Mus musculus: one gene and its partners. The protein of the gene in region 1 interacts with the protein of each later gene in a pairwise test. Links are inferred from orthologs where the notes say so. Each region holds a gene or a part of one and is shown in the gene's direction. Other genes may lie near its edges.

Evidence for each region.
Region 2: the proteins of Mipol1 (region 1) and Cct3 interact in binary tests that used the Homo sapiens proteins (3 or more experiments, as listed by UniProt). The two-hybrid records come from large-scale screens. The link is inferred for Mus musculus from reciprocal best matches to the Homo sapiens genes MIPOL1 and CCT3.
Region 3: the proteins of Mipol1 (region 1) and Utp25 interact in binary tests that used the Homo sapiens proteins (3 or more experiments, as listed by UniProt). The link is inferred for Mus musculus from reciprocal best matches to the Homo sapiens genes MIPOL1 and UTP25.
Region 4: the proteins of Mipol1 (region 1) and Ttc12 interact in binary tests that used the Homo sapiens proteins (3 or more experiments, as listed by UniProt). The two-hybrid records come from large-scale screens. The link is inferred for Mus musculus from reciprocal best matches to the Homo sapiens genes MIPOL1 and TTC12.

The regions. Positions count from the first base shown.
Region 1 is NC_000078.6:57,451,867-57,459,320, forward strand, and holds the end of Mipol1 (mirror-image polydactyly gene 1 protein homolog), read left to right. Parts: intron 1-5,086; coding exon 5,087-5,321; 3' UTR 5,322-5,375; downstream 5,376-7,454.
Region 2 is NC_000069.6:88,293,156-88,301,358, forward strand, and holds the start of Cct3 (T-complex protein 1 subunit gamma), read left to right. Parts: upstream 1-3,979; 5' UTR 3,980-4,080; coding exon 4,081-4,111; intron 4,112-6,186; coding exon 6,187-6,248; intron 6,249-7,644; coding exon 7,645-7,695; intron 7,696-7,773; coding exon 7,774-7,836; intron 7,837-8,203. Other genes in the region: Tsacc (TSSK6-activating co-chaperone protein), read right to left, coding at 1,604-1,678, 2,236-2,272. UniProt on the Homo sapiens protein: Component of the chaperonin-containing T-complex (TRiC), a molecular chaperone complex that assists the folding of actin, tubulin and other proteins upon ATP hydrolysis.
Region 3 is NC_000067.6:193,126,187-193,134,076, reverse strand, and holds the start of Utp25 (digestive organ expansion factor homolog), read left to right. Parts: upstream 1-3,825; 5' UTR 3,826-3,926; coding exon 3,927-4,033; intron 4,034-4,093; exon of another isoform or gene 4,094-4,225; intron 4,226-4,546; coding exon 4,547-4,586; intron 4,587-5,530; coding exon 5,531-5,810; intron 5,811-7,890. UniProt on the Homo sapiens protein: Component of the ribosomal small subunit processome for the biogenesis of ribosomes, functions in pre-ribosomal RNA (pre-rRNA) processing. Essential for embryonic development in part through the regulation of p53 pathway.
Region 4 is NC_000075.6:49,437,293-49,443,628, reverse strand, and holds part of Ttc12 (tetratricopeptide repeat protein 12), read left to right. Parts: intron 1-425; coding exon 426-527; intron 528-1,692; coding exon 1,693-1,792; intron 1,793-3,246; coding exon 3,247-3,472; intron 3,473-5,172; coding exon 5,173-5,248; 3' UTR 5,249-6,336. UniProt on the Homo sapiens protein: Cytoplasmic protein that plays a role in the proper assembly of dynein arm complexes in motile cilia in both respiratory cells and sperm flagella.

The DNA.
Region 1 (7,454 bases):
CCAACGTCCATATGCTGAGAGCGTAGGCTCCACACTTTACTCTCTACTCTCCCTATTGTGGGCTCATATAGGAAAATTTCCTTACAAGTATAAACATTTTAACTTTTAAAGTTCATAATGAATATGTAGTTCCCATAAAATAAAATAGACCTTACAGTTAATATTTACCTAAAATTCACTATACAGTTAGTAATGGAATATTAGTATATGGTCAGTGGGATGTAAACTACAAAGTAAGGGGAAAGCACATTCATTAAGTTATGAAGAGTACATGAGTAGGGTTATGAGACACACTCGCAGAGAAAACATCAAAATTTAAATTGTAACTTCCCCTTAAGCCCTATGACCTGTCTAGTGTGGGTTTTGTTTGGTTGGTTGGTTTTGGTTTTGTTGTTGTTTTCTCGAGACAGAGTTTCTCTGTGTAGCCCTGACTGTCCTGGAACTCACTCTGTAGACCAGGCTAGCCTCAAACTCAGAAATCTGCCTGCCTCTGCCTCCCGAGTGCTGGGATTAAGCTACTGTGGGCTTTTTAAATTAAGACTTATTTATTATGGAGTGCTCTCCTGCATATACATTTGCAGGCCAGAAGAGGGCATCAGAACTCATTACAGATGGTTGTGAACCAGCATGTGGTTGCCGGGAGTCGAACTCAGGACCTCTGGAAGAGCAACTGAGGCTCTTAACCACTGAGCCATCTCTCAGCCCTGTCATGGGCTTTTGAGTGAATTTATAATACCAACACCAGGTGTGGATTCCTTCCTGTGAAGCAATTCTCTACTCCAGTCAGAGACCTATTACTTGCCTTCATAAGATTTGTGCCATTATTGCACAAGTGTGCACATCTTGCCTGGCAAGTTGATAGTGCCATTCATAGGGCTCACAGCTAGGTCCACTGACACCTCCCTTCTTTCTTCCTCAGCTGACCACACAGGACCTTCCTACACTGTAAAAGCTTTCTAGCAAGGACAATTCTTCTAGCTTAGTTCTAGCATCATTTTTCTATATCATACCACCACAGTAGGTGGTATATTCATCTATAAAGTTGGTATATTCTTATCTTGTAGTCATGGTAGGCAAACAAAAAAATGGCAAGAGCCATATATAATTATAAGAGAGTAGCTTTCCCGTGGATTTTTCATATAGCCTTCCTTTTCATTAACCTGGCGCCTCCTGTTTCCTACCCTGCCACCTCCTCCCTGTGTAAACCTCTCTATCCCCAGTATTACATCCTCTACATTCATAACACCTGTGCTTAACGTCCTCTCTCCCTTAAAGTGATGGTTTGTATATGCTTGGCCCAGGGAGTGGCCCTATTGGGAGGTGTGGAATTGATGGAGTAGGTGTGTCACTGTGGGTATGGGCTTAAGACCCTCTTCCTAGTGGCCTGGAAGCCAGTCTTTCACTAGCAGCCTTCAGATGAAGATGTAGAACTCTCAGCTCCTTCTGCACCATGCCTGCCTGGATGCTGCCATGTTCCCGCCTTGATGATATTAAACTGAACCTCTGAACCTGTAAGCCAGCCCCAATTAAATGTTCTTTATAAAACTTGCTCTCATCATGTTGTCTGTTCACAGCAGTAAAACCCGAACACAGTATCTTTCTCCCAATAGCTTCTTTCATAGACTACTGGTGTCTGTAGGAACGCTTTATGTTGAAAACACAAAATGAGAGATTCAAACAGAGGGTCACATACAGTATTATTTATTCCTGTGCCTGGGTTACCTCACTTAGTATAATTTTTTTTCCAATTTCATCCACTTACCTGTCAATCTCATCCATTGTGTATATGTACCACATTTTTCATTATCCACTCATCAATTGATGAGCATCTTGACTCATTCCATTTCCTAGTTATTGTAAATACAGTAGCAATAAGTATGGATGAACAGGTATTTCAGTAGTAGGCTATAAATTTTTGGGGCGGTACACCCACTCAGAGGAGAAGGGGTATGGGAATAGGGAGAGGACTGTGGGAAGGGGTGACCGTGAAATGGACAGTGAGTGGGATGTAAAGTGAATAAGAAAAATATAATACAATAAACTTTTAAAAAATAATTGGGGTGGGGAATATGTCCAACAGAGGAATAATCCTGTGGTAGTTTCCACAAATTTCCATAGTGGCTTCATGAGTCTTGTAATCACACTAATAATGAATTTAGTTCTATTGTTTAGCTACACTGACATATGCTCAAACTGCCTTCTAAATTGTGTGTGTTTGTTTGTGCGCATGTGTGTGTGCTTATACACAAAGATAACTACAACCTTTATCAGAGATACTCTTTCCAGTGAATTGTGGTGCTTACAGAGACTTAGGGCTACACAAGTACAGGAATAGGTGTCAGCTGAGTGTTCAGCCCTACACAAGGCATTTAATATCATCCCCTCCTAGGTTCAGGGGGCATTGCAAGAGAGGAGAGAGAACAAATGTAAAGGCCAGAGAAAAGGGCTGCAAAATGCTCTAATGCCAAAGGCCAAATTCTGAATACTACAGGGCCTTTATAATTACAACCTCTCGACAAACACAGGTGACCACTCCAAATCTGCACAAGGACTGCTGATGGCCACTCACTCTGAACTGTCTCCTACTGATAGAGAGGAAGAGAGAAGTCTTTGCCTTCCATTGTATACCCACAGCAGATTCCACCAGGTGGCCCTGATTAAACTAAGTGGATCACCAAACCAAACCAAATTCAAAGTCTTGCATCTGAGAAAGGGACTGGCAGGTGAAAATTAGGTTGATAAGAGAGGAAGATAAGAGAAGGTGCGGGGGTGGGGGGGGGGGAGAGTAACCAGAATACATTATATGTTGGATGTAGTTACCAAAGGACTAACAATAAACAATTTAAATTTGGAGAGTCTCAAAGGTTTGTGTGCAGAAGCAGAGTTTAGACTGAAATCTCCCCAGTGAGTAGGAGTTTGTCACAGAGGGAAAGTGGTGCAAATGCAGTGGGCAGGAAAAGCTTTCTGTTTAAGAAACTGGTTGAAGGTCGAAAAGCCAGTGAAGAGCTATGGCAAGCACGGAGTAAGTGTTCAAACACAGGGGCTAGGAGTGTGGCTGTGGGTTCAAATGCAGGCTCGGCTAGGGGGTACTGCTGGGGTGATGGGATTATTTAAATTCCCTGCCTCTCTCTGTTTCAGTTTCTTCACTCATAAAACAAAGACAGTGAATGAAACTATTCAAAAAGGTTGTTTGCAGGTTCAGTGAGTTAAAATATATAATTTGTTATTTTTAGGGATTTTTTTTTTCCCAGAGTGCATGAGATGCCCCTGCAGGGTGTTAAGTGATACCACTTAAAGGCAGTCCAGCCACTGGCCCAACTTGGGATCCATCTCAAGGGGAGGCTCCAAGGTCTCACTATTACTGATGCTATGGTGTGCTTACAGACAGGATCCTAGCATGGCTGTGCTCCCAGAGGCCCAACAAGTAGCAGACTGAGACAGAGCCAGATCCAATCAATGGACAGAAGCTGGGGACCCCTGTGGTTGAATTAGGGAAAGACTGGAAGAAGCTGAGGAGTCGGGCAACCCCATGGGAAAACCAGCTGTCTCCAGAGACCTGAGGCCCCAGGGAGTAGGGAGTTCTGGAAGTATGGGGGCGGGGGGGGGGGGGGAGTGGTGACATCCTCTTGAAGACAGGGGGGCAGAGGAATGGGATGAGGAACTGTGGGAGGGAGGACAAGGAGGGGGATAACAACTGGACTGTAAAAAAAATAAAAGTAATTTAAAAAAAAATCACTAATTCCTACTGTTTGGTACTGTAGACTGTAGCTGGATAACATCCTGATGGAAGGGGAATCTTTGGGAGACAACCTGAATAATGAGTAGCCTCTGTGCTGGGATGTAAAGGGAGTCACATATCTCTCTGCACTTCATTGTAATTTTACACGGGATAACCAACTGACCAGAGTTTAGCACCATTCTCTATTGTTGGGGATTAATTTAAATCCTGAAATGATTTCTTTTGATATGTTAACTGTCTTGGTTTCTATGCGATACCTACCCCATATTGAGGACACTGTAGAGGCTTTTCTGTAACTTGAAAAGAAGAAATAGATAATCACACTCATCTGAACAGTTTTAGATGAAGCATCAGGCTAGTATTAGGCCAGTACTGAAGTTCTCCAACTAGCTTTTTTGCGGCTTTAAGAATTATATTGCTTTCATTCATATTCTCAACTTGTGTTATATAGCTCAGTGGTTGCACTTCCAACACTTCTGGCGACATTTCCTTTGTATTCATATACCAGAATGATTTTATTTAATAAAAAAAGAACATCTCCTATGTGGATTTTAAATTTCCCTTATTAAATATTTATATTTTCAAAATGTCTTTATTTAATTGAGTGAGGTGCTTGGTGCCATTTCAAAATAACCTCAGGTGGTGGGTGTAATGACATATCAAAGATCTGACCTTTAGCATTTTAGGATTCTATTTGTCTGCATTTTCTTCTGCATTCATTTCGTCTTAATTTATATGCTCTTTCTCCATATCACTTAATGAGTAGATGTATTTATCATAAGGTTCATTAGCCATAAAGATAGGTATCTGGATGCACATCCTCTGACTGGTGACTTTACATCATTCATCCTTCCACTGTGGCAGGTGGAAGGGTCTGTGTGTGAGGCTGCTGGGTATTTGCACAAACCTCGTCCATTCTCACTTAGTACTTCGATAGGCCCTAGATCTCCTAGACCGATGTCCATTCTCCTCCCCTGTCTTTGCAGTCAGCTTATTATACTTTTATTTACCTAGAAATACTTTATTTTCCAGTTCTGTGCTATCCCTTTAAAAGAAAATTGAATGTAATATTTACACTGACATAATTAAATTAACATTTTACAGCATCTTTCTGTGTGCTTTGATAGCATAGATAATCAGTTGTCTGCATTGCTCCTGGCCTAGTAGCAGAGTTACAGAACAATGATCAATTATAATAATACGTTATAAAAGCTATTTACATTTGCCCATTTAGGTATTCTATATTGATTTTTAGAAGAGGGGTTTCACATGAAGATTTTTTTTATTAAACAAATCATTGAACTTTTAGCCTACATTATTTATATTTGTATTTTTACATTTTCTCAGCTTGCACAAATCATTATCTCAAGAAGAAAGCCTGAAGGATCAGTTTAACCATGCCCTTAGTACCTATGAAGAAGCCTTAAAAAACAGAGAGAGCGTTGTCTCCATCACTCAGCAACAGAATGAAGAACTGGCCACCCAACTTCAGCAGGCTCTCACTGAGCACTCTCACATGGAATTACAGCTTCAGTGTGCTGTGGAGGCCTCCCAGGCAGCCAACGAAAAGGTTCAGAAGTAAGTAACCGATCCAGCCCTGACCCTAAAGGCATGAAACGTTAGAGAAAAGAAAAGGAAAAAAAAAAAAAAAAAAAAAAACTTTCCTTGGGAAACCCAACAGTCCACATAGTTTTTCTTGTTTGTATACTTACTAATGCTCTCAGGAAAAAGTAGCCAAAATGAACTTTTTAAGCTGACATTTCACTTCCTTTTTCAATAGAAAAAATTATTTGCTTGGCCCTTATTGTTACCCTATGATTTGGGACAGGTTGTATATACTAAATGCCCCGGATCAGCTCGTGGATTCTGCGGTGCTTAAATCCTTCCCCAGTGTTATTTGCAAAGGGGAGGGGCAGTCAAGTAACCAGCAGCTGCTCTCACTGAGCCTCACTGTCAGGGCCCTGGAGAAGAGATCTCCTGTGACCTTGTTCACTGAGCCTCTAGCTGCACTCAACCCAGTACACAGAAATTAATTTTCTTGTGTTGTTCTTTAGAAGTATGCGATGCAGCTTTCAGAGTGCATAATTATATTTGTTTATTTTGACAGTTCTTTGCATTTTTATTAAAATTTAAACAAAGCTGCATAATCAGTCCGTCCTTACAACAGTGCACAGAATGTTAACAATTTCCCAAGCAAAGATGTCCGTTATTAATTTATGGAACTTGAACACTGTAGCAGCATTTTCTGAAGAAGTTTGTTATGGAATACGGCGTGTCGTCCTAACCTTCTTTTGTACGAGTAACAGCAGCACGGCAGCATTCACAAACTGTATCACCTCTAGTTGCCAACACAGCATCTTTATCTTTTCTCTTTCAGACTCTGAGTATTAGGTTGTATGCCCAAGGACCGTTACTCCCTTGACTTCCTAGGTGAAATCAGTCATCTCAGCCGTTTCCCCATCATCTCTGCAACTGTATTTAAATTGATAGACCAGACTCAGGGGAATCGAGGCAAAGGCATTTTGGAATAATTCAGGGGTTACACACTTTAATCTTTACTGCCATTGTACCTTGAAACTTTTGATTAAGTCCTGTTAATTATCTGTTTTAAGATTGGGTACAAATTCATTTGGAAACTACATCTGGTTATTTGCAATGTGCATTAACAAACTAAAAATGCTGTGATATATAAATTGTATTGTAAATCACAGCAACTTGGACAGTTGTGATTTACTCCTGTTTGTACCGTCTACAAATAATTTTAAATGTCAAAGTTTATATGTAAGTACTTCATTGCTATGTGACTAAAATTCCCTAAAATAAGGGTTTCTTGAGACCAGTTAGTTTTCAAAATGTTGGAGATGTCAATATTTATCTTGCCAGTTAGCATTATCATGTTTTAAAAGAAAGATCTTTCGTATCCCAGGGAGTGGAAAGATTGTTGTCTCGGGAAATTAGTAAATTGGGTAGTTTTAGCTATTAAGCAAACTTTTATCATCTTTATTTTGCACGTTTAACCACAAACAAAATCTTTTTAGTGGAATACTACCAATCTGGGGATCGGTTTAAGTACAACATGTCATTTATAAAAGTTAAGTGTTGAAATTGCTTCTCCACTCTTTCATTCTGGTTTCCAAGAAGACCCACGTGAGCTATTTCTTTTACGTCTTCTATTTGTTTTGTTAGCCACAAATTAGGTAGTAGTGTGCATCTTCATCGTGGTTATATGAACATCAGCCTGTGCATTCTCCGGAATTTTTAGGGAGATTATCCTCTGAAAAGACAATAAATAAAACTTGGTAAGATAGGCTAAGTATGCTCTATAGTGTCTGACTTTTCATTGTAGTAATTCTTTGAAAGTATGTAAATACTTTATAAAATCAAATGAGAGAGATCTCTTCTCTCTTCACAGCCAAATCTTGAGTAGATGATCAATAATAATCTTTAATTTTTTAATATCTACCTATTCCTCTGCTCTTTATTACATTGTTGGCAACTGGCTGAAACTGTTCTTTATAAGATTCAAAGTAATTTCCTAATTCCAAGGTCCATGGTACATATTAACCATGTTCTTATATTATAACTGAAAAATAATTATGATAAAAATAAAGATGTGCATATATGATTAATATAACATGATAATTTGAAAACTTAGGCTTTGGGTTACAATGCGTAGGTAGGTACTTGGAGTTTGTTTTGAAACTTCATGCTGATA
Region 2 (8,203 bases), on another chromosome or scaffold:
AACTCACTTTGTAGACCAGGCTGGCCTCGAACTCAGAAATCCGCCTGCCTCTGCCTCCCAAGTGCTGGGATTAAAGGCGTGCGCCACCACGCCCGGCTAAAATATCATAGTTAACTTTTTTTTTTTTTAAGATTTTTAAGATTTTTATTTATTTATATGTAAGTACACTTCAGACACTCCAGAGGGAGTCAGATTTCGTTACAGATGGTTGTGAGCCACCATGTGGTTGCTGGGATTTGAACTCCGGACCTTTGGAAGAGCAGTCGGGTGCTCTTACCCATTGAGCCATCTCACCAGCCCTTGCTCTTAACTCTTGAGCCAGCTCTCTGACACAGGGTCTAGAGAGGCAGTCCTGGCTGGCCTGACCTCACGTCAGCCTGGTATCCCAGGCTGTCTTTGATTCTATGACTATCCTCTTGCCTCTGCTTCTTAAGTGCTGGTACTACACGTATGAAACTACACACATACATATTTTTTTTAGACAGGGTCTGTGTAACTCAGGCTGCTCTGGAATTTGCAGCAATATTCAGACTCTGAGGCCTAGGTTTACAGGTGAAGATCACCATGTTCAGCTTCTGATACATGTGTATGTATCATACATACGTACACATACATGTTTCTTCTGTGTGTGCTTGTGTATGTGCATGTATGTGGAAACCAGAGGTCTACATCAGGTATCTTCCTCAATTGCTCTCCATTTATTTAGTTTCATGTGTATGGTGCTCTCCGAGACCAGAAGAGGGTATCAGCATTCAGAGCCTCTGAAACTGGAGTTATAGAAAGCTGTGAGCTGCCATGTAGGGGTGCTAGGAATTGAACCTGTGTCCTCTGGAAGAGTAGCCAGTGCTCTTAACCATCTCTCCTGTCCCTTCCACTTTATTTTTTTCTTTTTTGTTTTATTGGAGGGGTTGGTTCAGGTTTTCTCTGTAGCCCCTGATGTTCTGGAACTCACCACACCCAGCCTTGCTTTATTTTGCTGAGTAAGGGTCTCTCACCAAACCTGGAACTTATCATTTCAGCTAGACTGTCTCATCAATAGCCATCAGGGATCTACCTGTTTACTCTATGTCCCTGCCTCCATAAGTACTGGGATACAGACATATGCCACCATATCTGGCTTTTTTTTTTTTGTTTGTTTGGTTTTTTTTGTTTTTCGAGACAGGGTTTCTCTGTATAGCCCTGGCTGTCCTGGAACTCACTCTGTAGACCAGGCTGGCCTCGAACTCAGAAATCTGCCTGCCTCTGTCTCCTGAGTGCTGAGATTAAAGGCATGCGCCACCACGCCCGGCTCATATCTGGCCTTTTATATGATTTAGAGGAGCCACACTCAGATCCTCAGGTATGCATAGCAAGGACTTTACCCACCGAGCCACCTCTGCAGTGCCCCGACATATCCTTTTCAATGGTCCTAGGTAGCCAGTATTAGCAGCATTGTACTTGAGGAATCCCATGTTAATAAAATTTGGTCAGGATTCCACAACTGGCACATGGCAGTTGCATGGAATTAAGCCAGGGTCTCTAGGCAGCAAAGCTGTGATCTACTTAGTGACACTTTACAAGTGCTATAAAAATAACTCATCAAAGTCAGGTAGGTAGTACATGCCTGTCAACTCAGCAGCTGGGAAGGCTGTAGCAGGACTGTTTCGAGTTTGAGGACATGCTGGTCTATATAACAACTCTTTTAAAAAGAAGAAAGAAGGAAAAAGAAAAGAAAAGAAAAAAAGCTGGACACAGTAGGTCATACCTATAATCCCTGGGATGTGACTGTTCTGGCAAAAGGGTTGTCTCAAGTAAGGATAGTGAGTTCCATAGCCAGCAAAGTTAAACCTATCTCCTTTACCCAAAAATATCCCACAAGTACTTTCCAAGTAACCAAGTAGCAGGCCACTGTTTAGTGGCAAATGTTTAGTCATTTCTGAAACCCTGAGTGAATGGGGAAGGCTGGCTTCTGAGGGAGGGGACACAGGGGCTGTGACACACCTTTTTCCTTAGTTTCATTTCTGAAACCCTGAGTGAATGGGGAAGGCTGGCTTCTGAGGGAGGGGACACAGGGGCTGTGACACACCTTTTTCCTTAGTTTCATTTCTGAAACCCTGAGTGAATGGGGAAGGCTGGCTTCTGAGGGAGGGGACACAGGGGCTGTGACACACCTTTTTCCTTAGTTTCATTTCTGAAACCCTGAGTGAATGGGGAAGGCTGGCTTCTGAGGGAGGGGACACAGGGGCTGTGACACACCTTTTTCCTTAGTAGGGTTACTAGTGTGCTGCTCCATCTTGACAGCAACAGGTCTGGTGCCTGGGAAAGAATAATAGGGTCACATGGTCAAACAACAGTGTCTTCTTTCCTAAGCACTCCCCTGAAAGCCCGAAGTGTAACAGTATATAACAGTGTATACACTATCTCATAGAGGTGTCTGGTTTTAAATGTAAAATTTTTAAGTTTTAATTATGTGAATATGTACATATATGAGTAGATCTCCCTTGAGTGAGAGGTGACTGTGAGCAGCCAGACATCAGTTCAAGGAATTGTGCTGAGGTTCTCTGCAAGAGCAATATACCCTCTAAGCCCACTGAGCCTTCCCTCCAGGCTGCCTCCCTTATGTGGTCCAGGGAGACTGAAGCCACTGAAAATCGCTATCCTCTTGACTCAGCCTCTGGAGTTTATTACAGGGGTGTGCTACCACACCAAACAAACAACTGTTCTGAAATTGTTAATTTTTCTCCAATTCCCTTCGGCAGTTTTTGTTAGTGCCTTTTCACTGCAGAAGACAAAGCATACCAAATACGAACTTTAAATCTATCACAAACATGTCATGACTCTTTGAGACTTCTGTTTAATTACTAGCCTTATTTTTTTTGTTGTTTTGTTTTGTCTTTTTCCTATATGGGGTGATCTGGCAAGAGGCTTGTCTCCAGTTTGAGATCAGCCTGGTCTTTACGACGAGTTTTAGGCCAGCCTTAGAACTCTGGTAAAGATAATACGGTAATTAAAAAAACAAAAACTCTAGTTTCTTTTGTCACTAACCAGTGACCAGGCTGGGGGGGAGGGGGCGAAGAAGACTCATAATACTGCAAGAAACACGACTTAGGATATTCGGGGGAAATGTGAGCGATCCTCCTTTATGTCTTTTTGCCTTAGACTCAACGTATTTTTCTAAGAAGTAAGACATTAGGACAGGAGAGATAGCTCAACAGTTAAGAGCAATAGATGGTCCCGCAGACAGGGTTACTTCCTAGCACCCACGTGGCGGTTCACAATCAATTCCAGTTCCAGAGGATCAGACTCCCGCTTGATCGCCTCTCACAAGTGGTGCACCTACATACGCACAGGCAAAACAACCATACACATAAAATAAAAAATAGGTACATCTAAAGAACAAGAATTTTCCTTCCTTTTCTTTAAAAAAGAAAACCAGCGCGTCTAGAGCAGTAAACCACAACTCCCAGCATGCTCCGGGGAGGCGGGGAGCCGAGTCGTTGCCTCCCCGCCCCGTAGGACAACTTCCACTTTTACACTGCCTCAATCTCTCGGGCCACGACGGGTATTTCTGGCTCCTCTACTCCTCCCTACCGCTAAGGCTGAAATAAAAAGTAGAGAACTATCATGCCTTCCTTGGCCTTCACGGTCGGACGAGAACCGATGGACAAAACAGAGCTTCATGATCTTACCTACAGCATTAATCCAAAGCCTCCACCCCAGCACCCACCCTCTAGTGGGTACTCATGCGCTGTAGCGAGCCAGCTAACTGCCCGTGCTTTGGCGCTTGCGCAGACATTCTGGCCGCACGCGGCCGGGAGCGGCCACGCCAGTGCGCAAGCGCTTGCGTCTCCCAGTCCCCTACATCATGCCCTCTCTATCTAACTTGCCTTGCCTTTCTTGCGTAGAGGGCGGGGCTAATACTGTCGATTGGCCTATGTTTTTGTCAATCAATAAAATGAGTTTGGTGATTGGCGGCACTTCAGAGGTTAGCAGGTTTCTGTGTCATTCCTGAGGAGGCAGCGTTTTCTTCGCTGCTCTTCTCTCCAGAAGGTTCTGCCGATTCCCCCCAGCTCTGGAGAGTCGGCTCTGCGTCGTGCCGCCATGATGGGCCACCGTCCAGTGCTCGTGCTCAGTGAGTTCAGGGAAGGGATGTCTCTCTCCGCCCCTCTCTCCCCAAGCTGGCCAGTGTTGCCCAGCTCCGTCCCGCCATGACTCGGCCCTCGTGCCTTCCAGTGGTCTTTTCGCCTTGGACCAAGCTCCTTCCCCACTTTTCTTCTCTTGCCTCTCCTGTCGCCTTCTTTTGACAAAATGACTTTCCGCTCTCGGAGTCGCTAGTCTTTACGTGTGCTTCATCCTATTCGCGTTCGGTTCTTTAGTCGCCACCCTCCACGCCCCCGTGTCCTTTACAGCATGATTTCCGTGTAGATAGTAATGATGGTTCTTAACGGTAGGCCTTGCTTCCTATGCTCGGTCCATCCCTCCGTAGAGGCGTGACTTAACGGCAACTCGCTTGATTGATACTTTAGCATCAGTATTTAGGAGGCTGTAGTAGAGTTGTTAAGTTGATAAGTAAAAGCTGCCTTTACCGGCAGATCGAATCGGAAGTGGCATCTTTTCAGTAGCGGTCATTCAGCAACCCTTGTTCGGAAATGACATTCCTGGCGTTCCCGATCTTGGATGTGATCTTTCCCACCAGCCAGTTCTCCCAAATTCCTTTCCTGGTTTTCTTTCCTCTTTAGGGAACGCCACTCATCTCAGTAAAGAGCACCAGTTCCTTGTCAGTTACCTGAGCTATTGAGAATAACTCAGTAAGCCTGGGTCAAAGTTAAACATAGTAAAGAGAAAAACAGATTTAGTCTGGCCACACTGGGAGGAGAGACAAAGGTGTTCAGTGACACTACCTCTCCTACACACTCGTAGACGAGTCCATGAGGTTTTAAGCAGCAGGCCAGATTTGTAAGAAGTCATTATTTTCTGCTCTAGTCTCCTGAGAGAAGTTTACCTACAGGGTGGCTCTCAGGCTTTAGTCTTTTTCCTGTTCTATCGTGAGATTCCTTGGCTTGTGATTGATATTTTGTTTGTTTTCGTCTGTGTATGGCACCAAGATTCCCTGGAATTGGAGTTACAGGCAGTTGTGAGCCACCTTGAGGGGCTGGGAATTGAAGCTGAACCATCTTTCCAGCCTCACAAGCAGACTTTCTTGGTCACTAATCTTTGAGACTCTGTGGCTCCTCTTCCCGGGGATGTTGTAAGGGGTGTGCAGTCTTGTGAAAAATCACTGTCCTACTGAGGCCCATTCAGGGCACTCAAGATATGAATCACTGGAAATATGTAAGCATGCATACAAGGAAAGTACTGGTCAAGACTATGAAGTTGAAGCATTTCAGGTTATCTCTTATTATACCGGGGGTTCTCTCATTATCTGTGTTTTTTGCCTGCCTCTATGTCTGTGCCTGCAGACACCAGAAAAGGACATCAGATCCCCTGGAACTGTAGTTAGAGATGATTGTGAGCTACCATGTTGGTGCTGGAAATGAATGCAGAGATCTCTGCAAGAGCTTCCAAAGGTTTTAACTACCAGGCCATCTCACTTCGTAACTGGCTAGCCTGGAACTAACTCACTTTATAAACCAAGTTGGTTGGTGTTCAAGTCACAGAAATCCATCTGCATCAGTGCTCGGATTAAAGGCATATGCTACCACGCTCAACCTTAAACAGTTGTAATTGACTGCTGGTTATACACTGAAAACTTTGTATTTATTTTTATTTTCAAAACTTGATGAATAGGGTTGGTGGTAGGATGGCTCAACAGGTTTAAAAAAAAAAAAAAAGCTCCTGACACTAAGCCTAATAATAACTGGAGGTCTTTTTGTTGTTGCTATTTTTGTTTGTTTGTTTGTTTGTTTGTTTGTTTCATTTGAGGCAGGTTCTCTATATATATGCCAAGTCACAGAGATACTCCTGACTCTGCCGTAAGTGCTGGGGTCAAAGGCATGCACCACCCTACCTGACTTGGATGACCAAGTTTGATCCCTGGCACCCATGTGATAGAAAGAAAATTAACTCTGAAAGTTGTTTTCTGACCTCACAGTTTTGCCAAGCATTTGTACACCTGATATATACATTAAAATGTAGCATTTTTTTTAAGTTAGGAAATAAAATGATTGTGTACACTGGGCTGTTGACATGTGTTTTTGTCTGTTTTAGGTCAGAACACAAAGCGTGAATCTGGAAGAAAAGTTCAGTCTGGAAATATCAATGCTGCAAAGGTAGTGCATGTTTTATGAGATAACAGCAGTTTGTTCTGGCTGACTCTCCTAATACTTCCTTATTGGTAGTAGCAAACTTCCTATGGTTCTGTACTTCATACAATGAGCAGAGGAAAACTTGCTTTTTTTTTCCAAGGCATTTCCCTGGTGGTGATACAGGAAGGGAGGTTTTTAAAAGATTTGCTTGTTTTACTTTACTGTTGGAGTGTTTTGCCTCCATGCATGTATGTATGTGTGTACATGGCATGGAAGCATAGAGGAGGTGGTCAGATCCCCCTGAAACCGGAGCTACAGGCCATTGTGAAAGTTCCCGTATCAGTGCTAGGACTTTAATCTAGGTCCTCTGAAAGAGCCCTGTCCCCTCTTGTTTGGGTAGCCTAGAATTTACTGCGTATAGTAGGTTGTCCTTGAACTCATGGATCTACTTGCCTCTGTCTCCCAAATCCTGGGGCTAAAATCATGTGCCACCACTCTGAGCTCAGTAAGTATATTTTTGAGTGAATGATTAGAAGTCTTGATTTCATGTGGACCAGAGGCCACTGTCAATAAAAGTATTAATGCTGAACTCTTAGGACACTAAAACTGAAATAGCTTCTGAAAATTTATTTGTTGTGTCTAAAATAGTTACCATTCTCGTCGTTAAGTGCCATTGTTAAACAGTGGCACTGGCTGGAGAGATGGCTGAATAGTTAAGAACACTTGCTACTCTTTTTTGTTTGTTTGTTTGTTTGTTTGTTTGTTTTTTTCAAGACAGGATTTCTCTGTGTGGCTCTGGCTGTCCTGGAACTCAGTCTGTAAAACAGGCTGGCCTCGAACTCAGAAATAAGCCTGCCTCTGCCTCCCGAGTGCTGGGATTAAAGGCATGCACCACCACACTATTAGACATACTGGAAGAGGGCATCAGATCCCATAACAGATGGTTGTGAGCCACCATGTGGTTGATGAGAATTGAACTCAGGACCTCTGGAAGAGCAGTCAGTGCTCTTAACCACTGAGCCATCTCTTGAGCCCCAAGTATTTGCTACTCTTGCAGAAGACGTAGATTTGATTCCCCGAACCCAGGTGGTAGCTTACAACCTCCTGTAACTCCAGTTCTAGGGTATCCAACATGCTCTTCAGGCCTCTTTGGTCACCAGGCATGTATTTGAAGCACAAACATATATTTAGGCAAAACACTCATACCCATAAAAATAAGTCTTTAAAACACTGGCTATGCACTGGGCATGGTAGAGTATGCCTTTAATCCTATCATCGAGAATCAGAAGCAGGCCTGTCTCTGACTTCAGGGCCAGTCGGAGCTACCTAGGTAAACCCTGTTTAAAACAAAACAATGGTTATTAGAAACACTCACATTATTCTCTGCTGTGCTTCTTGTTTTGTGTTTCCTTACCAACAGACAATTGCAGACATCATCCGGACCTGCTTGGGACCTAAATCTATGATGAAGGTTGGACTACCTTTTATTGGAATTCAAACCCCATGTCCTCCTTTTTTTGTTATCTGTAACACTTTTGCTTTTTCTTAGATGCTTTTGGACCCAATGGGAGGCATCGTGATGACCAATGATGGCAATGCCATTCTTCGAGAGGTGTGTTTGGTTTTGTTGTTTTGTTTTCTCACCTCCTTTCTAACAGTTTTACAAATACCAAGAACCTATTCAGGTACATATAGATACCTGGGCATAGTGTTGTATGCCTCTAATCTCAGCACTTTGGGACCAGAGGTAGAAGAAGTAGGATCATGAGTTCAAAATCATCCTGGGCTAAAATAACCCTGTCTGAAATCCAAGGGTTATCAAGGCATGATGGCAGTGTGCCTCTAATCTCAGTATTTAGGTGGTAAAGGTAGGAGGATTAGGGATTTGAGATTAATTTTGCAGGTTCAAAGCCTCTGAGTATTTGGGACAATAGGTTCAGAACATTATGCCTGCCTAGTCTGCTATGGTTGTCTTAAAA
Region 3 (7,890 bases), on another chromosome or scaffold:
AGCCTGAGATTTGAGCCTATCAAGCCCTGGATAGGAAGTATTGTGGTGGCAACATCGTAACTCCCTCCTGTTAGATAATCAAATGAGTATCTTGTGCTATGTGTACTTGGGAGTCCTCACCAGAAAACATGGACAGCAGAGTGCAGTTACACAGTCCTACAGCAGAGGGGGCTATGCAAACTTGAAGCCTGTCCTTAACATCAGATAGACAAAATATTTTCCTTTGTAGTCTATATCTACTGGTAGGTTAATGTCCAGAAAGTATATTTATTTAAGGTCACTGACTTTTAAAAAGACAGACCACCTATAGCTTGTTGGGAAGGGCTCTATGTGCCTGTAATCCCAGAACTCAACCAACTGAAACTGGAGGATTTTGAGTTCAAGGACAATGTGAGCTACCTAGGATTCTGTCTCAAGAGATGAAAGTAAAAAGTCCTTATATTGCAGGCTCTGGGTACCTGTTAGGAATAGAAAAGGAGGAAACACAATCTTGTTTTCTTGAGCTAACTCTCCTGGGAAGAAACTCTGCGCAGTGAGTACTGTGAAACCCAATGGCAGCACAGACTGAGACATATAACCTTAAGACCCTATTTATAACCCACACGTCCTTGCTCATGTAGTCGGTGGATGTTTGGTGAATGGCATGATTGATAGATGCTCATCCTAAGAGTAGAGAGCCGAGACTTCTAGCCAGGGCTCCAAGTATGCTCATTTTCCAACACAGAGTGTCCCCTGAGGAGGCTGGTGTGGATCTTATCCTCGCTTTAGCTGTACGCAATGCAGTTGGCAGGAAACAGGTGATCAGCAAATGTTTCTGAGTGAGTAACTGAGGTTATTTCATAATTTTGTGAGTTGATGCCAATAATTTCTGTCAGGACTCTGGAAAGGTAAGATGGGTCTGTGTTTGAAGGACATTTGTATAGTGATTTTGTATGTAGGAAAATGAGTCTTAAAGGACCAGGAGGGCCCATAAATGCATATATATTCACACACACACACACACACACACACACACACACACACACACTTTCCCCATAGTCTTAACAAACTAGGAACTCAGACATCTAAATTGTTCCTTTGATCTTTGATGGCTCGCTCTCTGATGTGCTCTTGTGTTAACATTTTATTTATTGTGTAGTGCTGTGTGTGTGTGTGTATGTGTGTGTACAAGTGGAAGTCCCAGGTCAACATTGGGTGTCTTTCTCAATCATTTTCATCTTACTTTGTGAGTTTGGTTTGGTTTGGTTTGGTTTTTCAAGACAGGGTTTCTCTGTGTAGCCTTGACTGTCCAGAACTCCCTCTGTAGATCATACAGTCTTTTACAAAAGTATACTAAAATATTTACAGATTAAATAATTATTACAATTTGCTTCAAAATTTGTAGGGTGTAGAGCAATAAATGTAAAATGGGTAGCCTTCAGGGAGTAATTGCTGGGGCTGATGGGTAATATCAAGGCTGATGGGTAATTGTGTGAAGCTCATGGGTGTTCCCTGAGGCTCATGGGTAATCCCTGAGGCTCATGGGTAATCCCTGAGGCTGAGTAGCAGGCCTGTGAAGTCTATCATATCTTTTTGTCAAGTTTTTTATTTATTGTATTTGAAAATTTCTGTGGAACTTTTTTCTTTTAAATTATTAAGCCTTCCTGAGTATTCTGAATGCTCTTTTCTTAAAGAATATTCTTGCCCTTTACCCACCTCACTTCAAACAGCCCAGGAACAGTAACTTAAAACCCACTAGCATTTCTTTGTACAGTAACATAGAACTCACTTCCTGAACTACTGTTAACTCTGAAAAGACTTTGAGTTTGAATACATAAAAGGATATCCTAGGGGAGAGAAATGAGTTCTAAGAGTAGAAAGAGAGAAAAAAGGAGGGGAAAAACCTGTCTTTATTAAAACTTCCCAGGTATGTGTGTGGGGGGGGGAGGTCATGTGTATACATGTATGTGCACATGTGTGCTCATAGAGAGCTTCCACAGAGGTATAGAGACAATGGCTAAATTCTTAACCGTCAGGTTATAGTCACATAGGCCCTCCGTCAACCTTATTGAAGGTGACTATCAATACTTTGAAAGAAAGGGACTTCTTTTCCAATAGTCAGCAAGCCAATGCTGAGACTACTTGGATGGAGATAGGGTGAATTTTTGCCTAAAACTGGGAATAGTCTAGATTTGCATGCTGGAAACCACGTGAGAGCAAGAGTCACCTCAAGTGCTGGAACCTTCAGCTTCTGATGAGATCTCTGGAAGAACACGAAACTGCATGTCTGGGGGTGTGGGGTAGGGCCCTTGGGGTGCAGTAAAAGGAGAAAAAAGTATGGCTTTTATTGGTTAGAGCCAGGTTACACGGTCACCAGAGCCATAAAACCTGTGAGGACACTTTGCAAACAGCCTTTTGTTTATCTAAGTGACTATACCTTTCAACTAGACAGAAGACAGATGTCTATTAATGAGTTCCTAGGCCAGGCCAGGTGCTGGCTACCACCCTTTCTGTTTGCATGGCTTTTGATACTTTTTTGCTGGGGGGGGGGGGTTGTCCCCCACCACCACTGGCTTTCCCACTCCCACCCTAATTATTAGTAGTAGATGACCCTGGAACAGAGGGCGGACAGGTGGACCTGAGTAAACCCCTACTCTTCCACAGAAAGATGTTTCGATGTCTCCAGTTGTGCTTTGAGTCTAAGCTGGAGCTAGTACTTTGTTTACATTGAACCTCGGTTAGTTTTGAAGGGAAGTATGTCTTTGTGTGGTGTCAAACAGCCTCACCTATTGCTGTGTGTCCTTGAAATACAGGCCTCAGCTATTTTTGTTCGTTCCTTTGTTTATTTAGAGAAGTTGGGTCTTGTTTTATTTTCCCTGGGTAACATCAAATTCACAGAGATCTGCCAGCCTCTGCTTCCCAAGAGCTGGGATTTAAGGCGTGTGCCACCATGCCCGGCTCAATTTTATTTTTTAAGTAAAGGTCTCTAACACTTCATTCTCTTGCCTCGGCCTCCCGGGGACTGAGATCACAGGTGTGAGTCACCACTAGTTTATTTGCTGTGTGGGTTTGTTTTGCTCAGTGTTAAAGATCAAACCCCAGGATTTGAAAAGTACCTTGGCTAAGCACCCTACATATGAGCGAGCAACGCCCCTGGCCCGTTTAGGCTATTACTCACACTCAGGCTAATACACATCAACTTTAAATGTACAGTTTCACTCGTTTGGGTGATAACACATACAAGATCCTACTTTATCTTGTGTGTTTCTGCTTTTGTTAAAGAAGCAATGTCAGGAGAGGATCACCTCACATACTCCCAGAGACTAATGAATGATCTTTCTTGCTAAGCATCGGTGTCTGCATCTTTCTCAACAGACTGACTCGCTAGATCCGTCTGGACAGTGTGCCGTTAAGTGGGGTGTGCGGGCACCCTTAAGCGATGGTCCTTATTCTTCTGAGTAGCATTCAACCATTTCTGCTAGCATACATTGACATATCAAAGCGAACCACGCGGTTGTGGATTTCGCTTAGTGCTTGAAAACCAGTGCAAGGTCCTGGGTTCAGTTCTTAGCTCCTGGGAGAGGGACAAAGGACCACCAACCTCGTCCTCCTCAATTTTGGAGAAAAAAAAAAAAAAAAAAAAGGTAAAAGATAAGCACAAAGCAAGCCACTCCATCCCGGAAAGACAGCCAGTCCCTGCAGCCCTAGGAGCTGGTGTTCCGATCACGCATGCGTAGACACGCCTATGTGCTAGAGGCGCTCCGGCAGGGGGCAGTATAGCGACCAGAGGGTGTAACGCCTGTCGTACTCTCTGGGCGTAAAGCAGCTTTGCTTTACGGCTCCCGCCTCCGCCGTAAAGCCAGCGTGCCCACGTGCGACAGCGACAACTTGCCACTGGGAACCTTGTGTTTTGTTTGTTTGTTTGTGGCGAGCTTGACGTTTCCGCTATGGGCAAACGCCGGAACCGGGGCCGCAGCCAGATGCTCAGCACCATGACCAAGAAGCAGAAGAAGCACCTCCGCGACTTCGGCGAGGAGCACCCCTTCTACGACAGGTCGGGGTGCGCGGGCCGCCGGGAGGGCTGGTTCCGGCCGAGTTGAGCCGGGTCCGGTCGGTGCAGGACGGGAACCCCGCTGCGGAGGTGCGCTCTGCACCGGGACCTGCTGAGACCGCGGGCCGTGCTGCCTGTCATCCGAGCACGCGCGGGCTCAGGCGCGAAATCGCAGCTTAGCCCAGCCAGGGCCGCGTAAGGGTCTCCAAAAACAGGACGGGAGGTCGGGAGATAAAGTTGGCCCTGAGAGGTGAACCCCGGTGTGCCGTTAAAAGCCAGTTTCTGACTTATCCTTTCTTAAGAGATGTCATTGAGCTCTCTTGTCTGTTACCCTTTTGTCTGCTGATCATCTCTGCCCTTGTGCATGCAGAATTTCATTTTTTACACTGACTGGATATTATCCTGTATTGGACATTTTTTTTTTTTTTGGTATTCATTTAAAGCAGAATCATTATGCCTTTTCGTGATTGTTACGAACTAGCAGCTAAAGTTTAATGTTATCTATTTCTATTTTAGGGTTTCCAAGAAGGAAGCCAAGCCGCAGATTTGTCAGCTGGTAATGCTTTTTTTCTTTATAGTAGTTGGAATTGGGTTGTTACCTTTAAGATTGGGTGTAAACGTAAAGTTTGGTTTGCATCCCCGTGTTTCTCTGTTTTGGGTGTGAGCTGTGATTTTAGTAATGCTACCCAATTGGTTGTAAGTGATGGAGACAGCTGTAGAAATTACCATGTGATGAGAGAGGCTATGGTTGGAAACTACCCCATGACACTGTCTTAAGTTCTGTGGAAGGGGTTCATCAGAGTGCTGGCTCCTTGTGCATGAAAGGCTTCACACAGTATAAAATGGACAAGGGGCCCGGAGACTCAGACAGTGACACTTGCTTGTAATTCTCCTCTTACATCATGCAACATGAAACCTGATGTCTGAGATGTAAGTTAAAACTCATAACCTGAAATTTTGTTTGAAAAGTCAGTTTTCTTTCCACGTGCAGCTGATGTCAATTAGAACCATAGCTTGGTTAACTGTTTTATTTAAGTTTCATGCCCGGCTTGGTTCAAGAGATGAGACTGTAATATTTGCTGAAAAGCTCATAGGGATTTTTGTTTTGTCTGTGAGTTAATGTATATTCATTATACAAAGTAGCGGGTTTCCTAAGGACTTTTCCAGTCAAAATTATCTGATCGTATTCATTTCCTTCCTTTGACTGTTTGTCTTCCATCTCTGCTCATCCCTTTCCTCTTCCCAAATTCTTGTCCTTTTGATTTCATGACTTCTAATTTCTTTTAAATCTAGTTTCCTTGTGCAAGAGAAAATATTACTTGTCTTTAGTCTGACTTATTTTTACTTCCTTATCACCCATTCTATCCATCCCCTTGCATGTGATATAATTTCCTTCTTTGTGGTTGAGGAAATTCCACTAATATGTATTTCTCACATTTTCTTTCTTATTTTTATTTTGACAACAATATATATATATATTAATTTCTCATTTTTCTTTAGCCAGAGAGTTCAGATTCTTCACATTCTGAAAGTGAATCAGAGAGTGAACAAGAGCACGTTTCAGGGTACCACAGACTGCTTGCTACATTAAAGAATGTTTCTGAGGAAGAGGAAGAGGAGGAGGAGGAGGAGGAGGAGGAGGAGGAGGAGGAAGAGGAAGAGGAAGATGACAGTGCTGTAGGTGATGCAGAAATGAATGAGGAAGCTGGCAGTGAGGATGGCAGTGTGGGAGAAGCTGCTGTCTCGGAGGCTGCTGAGGAGGCTGCTGAGACACAGGAACGTAAGTGCCTGGGGCCGGCCTGTCCTCTTCATTCTGTGTTGTGTGGGCTGAGTGAGAGCATGTGGTTCCAAGGCAGAGATTCAGCCTTGTTGGGTTGGGTTAGCTTTTGAGACTCTGATGGGAACACAGGACCCTCTCATCAGGAAAATGCTGTTGGCTTACTCTTTGGGGGACTTGTAACCTCCCGTAAGACCGCTTGGCGTATCAGGGGGACATTATGTGGTCACTGTGACAGCTCAGTTCACTGAAGAGGTTGTTCCGCTTCAGTAAGAGACCAGGTTTGATGGGAGGTAGACATAAAAATACAAACTTTCATGTTGTAGATTTGTTTATATGAAGCAGCTGGAGAGGAGATGAGGCTGCTCTCACTGGGTCCTTAAGGTGACTCTGAGAGGTACTGGGACTGAGAGCCCAGAGAGACTCTGTCTTAGGGCTCAGATGCACCGCTAAGTGATCTTCTGTGCCTGGGAATCACATCCAGGGTCTTGTGTATGTCAGACTGAGCTCGTCTTTTGAGTTACGGTCTTACTGTGTAGACCAGGCTGGCCTTCCGCTTACGATCCGACTTCTGCCCTGGAATACAGGTGTATACCTGTGAAGGAAGGCTTTCCGCCTGTCCCCAGATCTCAAATGACGACTCTGAGACTTAGTTATGAACAAGTGCCTAGACCATAAGCTTGGGCTTGTTCTCCGACAAGCTCATAACTATATGCCCCTCTAGTCTATAACATGCGAGCCACGTGGCTGGTTAGTTACTCCTCAGAGTCCGCTGGTGGAATCACCCTCACCTGAGTAGCTCCCAGAGTTCTTCTCTCTCTACAGAACTCTTACTTCCCGCCTTTTTTACTAGGCCATCATTTTTTTACTGACAAGTGATGCTTCCATACTGTACATAAGAGAATCTTTCTACACACCCCCATGCCTGGCTTTTTTTTTTTTTTTTTTAAATCAGCCTCATTAGAATATGTTTATATGCAAACAGAAGGCAGCCTGGGCTGACCAGGTGGTTCACTGGGTAAAACCTCCTGCTGTAAAAGGTGACAGCTTGAGTTAGAGTTCCGGAACCCACGTAAAGGTGGAAGGCAAGAACCAGATCCGGGTAGGAAAAACTAACTAATAACGAAGTGTACCTAATTTCTATATGCAGTTTGAGCTTTGACAAACATGTACCTTCCATGACCTACAGAGATGCCTATCCTTTTGCTGGCACTGAACTGACTCTGGTCGCTGTAGACTGGCTGTGCCCATTATAGAAATCTGGAAACATGGTTAAACACACAGCCTTTTTGAGACAGGCTCTTACTCTGTAAACCCAGCCTTGAGTTCACTGTGTGGCCCACAGTCATGACCATCCTCCTGCTCCATCCGCCTTCTACCTCCCACCTCTCAGTGCTGGGATTGCAGGTGTGTAGTGCAATGTCTGGCTTGTGTCTATTTTACCTTTGTGCTATTGTTCTTAATAGTTTGCTTTTAATTGCTGGATATATGTGGGTGACTTCTATATCTCACTATCTCAGTCCTGTTATTCTTACAGTCACTTCCTTTTTTGAGAGAGTATCACTATCCCTAACTGGTGGCCTGGCATTTGCTGTATAGGCCAGGCTGGCCTCAAACTCACTTCCCGAGTACTGGGATTTAAGGTGTGCACTACCATTCCTCATTCCTCCTAACATGGTCTCCATATTCCCTCCATTCCTCTGTGATGCTGGGCCTCATACATGCCAGCTACACACTTTCCCACTAAGTTACATCCCAGGCCTTTATTCATTTAGTCATTCTTTCTTTTCTTTCTTTTTCTTTTCTTTTTTTTTGGACAGGGTTTCTCTGTATACCCTTAGCTGTCCTGAAACTCACTCTGTAGACCAGGCTGCCCCCAAACTCAGAAATCCGCCTGCCTCTGCCTCCCAAGTGTTGGGATTAAAGGCATGTGCCACCACTGCCAGGCTTTCTTTTCTTTCCTTTCTTTCCTTTCTTCCTTTCTTCCTTTCTTCCTTTCTTCCTTTCTTCCTTCCTTTCTTTCTTTCTTTCTTTCTTTCTTTCTTTCTCTTTCTCTCTTTCTCTCTTTTCTCTCTTTTCTCTC
Region 4 (6,336 bases), on another chromosome or scaffold:
CCAGAAAGTCAAACCAAAAGACAGAGCTATCGAAAGATAAAGCTAAATGAAAACTGAAAACTCCACGGGTCAGTCCTGGAAGTGGGGCATCCTCTAATGAGGACCGTGCTGGTGCTGAGGTCTGGGAGGCACCCAGGAAGGACTGACTCTCAGGGTTGAGCCCTGTGTAAAGCTGAGCTACACTGAGCCTCTGTGCCAGGAGGCTTTATTTCCAGCCCTTTGAGCTGCCTGCCTGTCAGGTTTATTAAAAAGGAACTAGGTTCTCTATGTGTTCTTTGCCCATTATATCATTTAAAAATTGAGGAATAAAATTTTGCTTCCAATATTAATGATTGCTTTTACCTGTGAAACTCCCCCTCATTAACTTTGAAAGTCGCCAGCATTTCTGGACGGGGTGTCTAAGCATCCTCTTTGTGTCCCCTCAGAGAGCGGCAGGTGTTCTGAGCCGGACCCTTTCTTCCTCTCAGACCATTGTGGAGGAGGCCCTGACAGCAGGAGTGGTCAAGAAAATGATTAAATTCCTGAGGGTAAAGTTATGGCACTACTCACAACTTCTTAACTATCTAGAGATCACCTGTACAACTTAGAGGGCAGGAGGAAGGTGGGCTGTTCAGTTAACATGGCAAGATGTCATCTCTGCCTGAATAGAGAGCCAAGTCTTCCATCTGTCCCTGAGCAGTGACAAAGACCCTTGAATGAATAAGCAAATTGTTCTTTGGCTACAGTGGTAAAACCGGGCTTGCCCTCCATACCCAGCTTGAAATGTGCAGCCTCTGTCCTTGAACAAAGGTGTACTGAACAGCTTTTGGCAAGGTCCCATAAGGCAATTATTTTGTTCATGGATTTCTGGTACTTTCTGTCTTTATCCGGAGTGGACCAGTTGTTAACTCCATCTGTGAGCTTTGGAGGCTGCAGAGTTATCATGTGACCAGAGGATGTTGGAATTTCCCGAATGAAGTAGGTGCAAAGAATCCAAGTGAGGAGTTAGATCCACCTGGAAAGGCACAGGGAATTATCAGACTGTTGCCTCTAAATCCTACCCATGCACTGTCACTCATGTTACTGATGCAGTAGTACTGCTAAGCGGGGCAGGAAGCAAGCTCAAGCTGGGGAAGATGCCACCAGGCAGGGCAGATGACACCGGGGCAGGGTGAAGGATCTCAGTGAAGAGCGACGCTTGGTCAGTGCCTGTCATTATCCCTACAGCTTTGGCACTATGCCAGAGACTGCTGGATGCATCCACATACATCCTAAAGACCCTGATATTATGGAATTATGCTTGCATAATTGTTACCTCTTATGATGATCTCAGTTGGTGACTCTTCACAGAGATTATCAACCCTTATTCTCCAAAGCCAAAGGATGGGAGGGGGGCATTTGCTTCCTTTTGGGAAAACATCAGCTACTGAACAGCATCACTGTTGTCTAAGACAGTCTCTAGTAAAGCCTTTCACTTAGTGGTGTCAGGTGTACAGGCAACAGGCCTACGTCGTCACCCTGGGCATGGGCTAGGTGGACAGTTGGGTTCAAGTGACCTCCATCCTTGCTCACTTATGGAGCATATGTCATACTTCATCTAATCCTCTTACAGATGCCACGGAGGCCACTGGCACTGTTATAGTCACTGAGGTATCTGAGCAAGAATGGCTAGACCCTTGATCTGACGTTTCTGATATTTGTTCTGCAACCTAGATGGGAGGCCAGACTGCATCACGTTACGCCATAAAGATACTGGCTATCTGCACGAACAGCTGTCATGCAGCTCGGGAAGAAGTAGTGAGACTTGATAAAAGTAAGTGATGGTTTCATTATGGGAGCCCAGGCCTCAAAGAGGGATTCACCCTGGGAGCTGCAGAGAGAATGGAGGCTGAGGAGGAGGTGGGGAGATCTAGACAGCGGGGCTCCCTCCCTTGTAGTGTTTCCACAACCGGATGTCAGTTCACCTCCCGTCACAAAGTGTCTCCTTGGCCTTCGGTCTGTGCTTCCTTCGGTAAAATGCCAGGCAGCTCAAAGATCACAGGGCAGAAGCTAGACAACTTCCCCCACCCGTGACGCTAACCTGGACTTGTTTCTATAGTGATGCTGGAACCGGCCTAGCACCGGCTCTCTCCCTTCTTGGAAGGAGGGCAGAAATGAAGCACCTTCAATCCTAAGATGAGAGCAAAGGGACTTTCAGCATTGAGGCCAACTGAATTCATTAAGACTGCTTTAGACAGTTAGCCTGAAGAGTGTTGATGTCACTCCATCATAAGATAGATGTGAAGGCTACAGAGTTACCACGTGACCAAACACTACTTTAATTTTCCCACAATCTAACTTAAACTCTAAATCCACTGTAGCTCTTCATGGGGCGTTGGGAGGCAATGGTCCAAGCAGGGGAAGATTCCTAATGTTCTCTATATCTCCTCCTCCTCCTCCTCCTCACACACTGACTGACTGGATGGGGCCCACAGAGGACAAGAACTTTCCATCTGAAAAGATGCAAACCTCTCACTCAGGCAGGGAGGTGATGTAGAGTGGGGGGAGGGGTCTTGAGAACAGACTTTTCTGACACTCCAAACCATTTAAAAAACAGTTAGGGTTTCATTGCTGTGAAGAGACACCATGACCACAGCAACTCTTAGAAAGGAAAACCTGTAACCAGGCCTGGTTTACAGTTTTCGGAGGTTTAGTCCATTATCATCGTGTCAGGAAACATGGCAGGGCGCAGGCAGACACAGTGCTGGAGTACAAGCTGAAAGTTCTCTACTTCAATCTGTAGGCACGAGAAAGGGATTACATACCATCCTGGGCAAAGCTTAGGCATAGGAAACCTGAAAGCCCACCCCACAGCAACACATTTCCTTTAACAAGGCCACCCTTTCTCCAACAAGGCCACACCTTCTAACAGTGCCACCCCCTATGGGCCAGGCATTCACACTCATGAGTCTATGAGGGCCATTCCTATTCAAATGACCACAGTCTCAGATGTAGCTCTAGCTGATCTATAACTTGTTATGTAGATCAGACCAGCCTCAAATTCACACAAATCTCCCTGTCTCTGCCTCCTGGGTGCTGGGATTAATCCATCATGTCCAGCTATGCAAAGCAAGTTATACCACAGTACAAAGCTACAGGGAGAGCACACACATTTCCCCAAGTTTCTGAAGAAGCTTGCCATCCACCCCGTCAACCTCCCCTGCCCATCTTGGCAGCCTTTTCAGCCGGTCTGTTGCAATTGCTCCCTCTACCCATGTTTCCCTGTAGAGTTTGACCTTTTGATGCTGCTGCTTGCCTCTGAGGATGAAATTCTGGCGGGCAATGCTGCCCTCTGCCTTGGCAACTGCATGGAAGTGCCCAGTGCAGCCCCTTCCTTGCTGAAGACGGACATCGTGAGGGTGCTCTTGAAGCTGGCAGGCAGCGACTCAAAGGAGACAGGCGTACAGCTGAATGCAGGCATCGCTCTGGGGAAGCTGTGCACTGCTGAGCCCAGGTCGGTTGTGGTCACGCTGAGCCAGGCCACCCAAGTGGTGATAACATCTCAGAAAGAGCAGGGCAAACCAAGCACTGTGGGAGGAACCCACAGAGGTACCACCTCCTGCCTTGTGTGCAGGCCACTCGGGGTCCCCATGAGCTACGTCTCTAGGATAAGGGTCCTTCCTGTGGGGGGAAATCACAACTTCCAGCCTGAGAAAGGAAATGCCTTTGACAGGGTTTGGTTCCAGGCACATGGTCACCATCTGTTCATCCACCCTGCCTTCAACTGTCTCCATTTCATTTTCTTCTTTCTCTCACACATCCAGTCCTGTCTCTTCTTCTTCCTCTATTATTGAGCTTTCTGTCACTGTGACAAGAATGTTCATTTAAAGAAAGACTTATTTTGACTGATGGTCTCAGGAGCTTCTTCAGCCTCTGCTCACATGTGTCTTTGGACCTGTTGCAAGGCTGTGCCCCATGGCAGGTACATAGCACAGAGGGGAGCCATTCATGTCACGGTTCCCAAGAAGCCAAGAAAGACACCAGAAAGGACAGATTCCCCAACTCCCTTTTGAGAACACCCCAGTGACCTAAATCTCACCCGCATTAGGCCAAGCACACTAAAGCTTCTGTCATCTTCTGACAGTGCCATAGACTGGGACCAAGGCCTCAGTGCATGGACCTTTGAAGTACATTTAATATGCAATCTGTAACACATACTGTCTTTGTCTCTCTGTATGTCTCTGCCCCTGTCTCTTCTTTGCCCTCCCCATCTCTCTCATCTCTCTTTCAATATCTCTGCCTCCCCTCCTCTCTCTCCCACTCTTCCTTCCTCCCTCACTTCATTCTTTTCTCTCTTCACTAGTTGGCCTATAACTTGCTTTATAGCTCAGGTGGATCGCAATCCCCCTGCCTCTGCCTCACCAAAACTGAGACTGTGGCTGTGCACTACCATGTTTAGCGCCTCATCTTTTTCTTTACTTTTCTGGACCAGACTTCTAATTTTTTTGCTGATTGATTGGCTCGTTTATTGATTGACTTGACTCTAAGCAAATGGAGGACTGGTCAGTGCCAGTAACAGTCTCCTGCTGGAGAGACAAGGCTACAGAACAGCATGCCTGAGACCAGCCAGCAAGCCGGAGCATCATTTACCTGTCCTGGACCTGTTATATGCTTAACCATCCCATGGTGTATGTCTCAGGGTGTTTCCCCATGGCTGTGCCATGGTCCATTGCATAGAAGTAAGGGAGACCTTGAGGATGGGGTTCAATATGGCTCCTGCCTTACAGCTGCACACATCTCTCCCCCCCCCCATCCCCCCGAAATGAGAAGGCTGGTTTGGTTGTCACTGAAAGCTCTTTCAAGTCCTCTCTGATTGATCAAGTAGAAGAAAAAGAGAAAAGCTTTTTTTTCTACAAAAAGAGAAACCCATTACTAGGATAAGTTCAAAGTGGCCCCCTGCTGGGGTGGGATGGAGGGCTTTCCTAAGAGCACAGCTTCATCTGACCGGCCTGTCACACCTGACACTGAGTGTTCCCAGTATTGTGTGGGTTCCCCTAGAGTCCCACTACTCTCTTTGATCTTTAAGGCTCTCCTGTGCCACTGTCACTTTCCCTTTCCCTCGAGTGATCAGTGCATGGCCAGCATCCATCTGCAGAAGGTAGCTGTGAAGTGTGACGTATATTAACCTGGATTCTGCATCCTGACTTACCACAGGTTTGCTGCCCAACTGCGAGAGCTTCACGGGATACAAGTTCTCAACTCTACAATGAAACACTTGAATGATTCTTGAAAGACACGGTGCCAGTGTAAAAGCCTGTGAGCACACACACACACACACACACACACAACTCTGGGCCAGGGGTCACTGCTCTGCTAATAAATTCTTTTTAAATATTTAGCTCCAAAACTGGATGTCTGCCGGGTTTTTGCTGGGAAGAAGAGAGCAGGTGGCTACCACAGTAGAAACTGCTGCTCTAACAACTGATGCTTGCTCTAGCATCCATCTCCCATGCCTTTGACCTGCTCCTTCATTTTCTACTGAGGCTGGAAAACAGCCTATCAAAAGCCTCATTTCCCAGGCACCCTTGCAGCAACACCACTAGATGAGAACTAGATCCTGAGGGAAGCATCAGGGGTGTTTGGTACTGACACCTTAGCATCTGCCTGCAGCACTCAGCCCTATAAAAGACTGGTGGTAGCACCAGGGTGGCAGCAGCTACCTGAATCCCAACTGCATCTGTGGCATGTGCTTTTGAATCCAGTGGGTTAAGTGATGATGGGTGGCTCCCCTGACAAGGGAGCTGTTTCTAGTCCTGGGCCTGGGGGTCAGCATTAGCATCTGGCTGCTTTCTTACAAGTACCCCATGTTAGGTGTAAGATGGTTCTGGACTGAAAGTGAGAGAACACAGGCTTTTATTTGCAGAAACCCAGTTGGAAGTCTGGATGAAAATCACTAACCTGGAGCCCTCTGTGTGGGACCAGTGCACTGTGGGCAGCTGGTAAGAGCTCACTGGAGTATTCTACAATGGGGCTGTAACAGTGTCCCCAGGTGCCAGGCAGGTGCCAGGCCTCAGCAGAGAAGGTGGGACCTGCCCATTCCATGGCCTCATGCAAACAAACCTCCTTCAAGCAGCCAAATTGCAAGGGAGATGTGTGACGGTAAACAGAGCAGAGAGGAAAAGTAGAGGTTGCAGAATCTGCAGCTTTCAAAGAACTCGGCAGGGCTTGGAAGGTGGCATCGGGGTGCAGAATCAACAGGCTGGTCTCCATTGCAAGGTTCATGCCTCTCTCATGCTGCTACATTCCTCCTCTCTGACTCTGAAAATGGCTGCCGTAGGTAGAACCCCATCCCCAAAGAGTGGGGACTGTCACATTCCA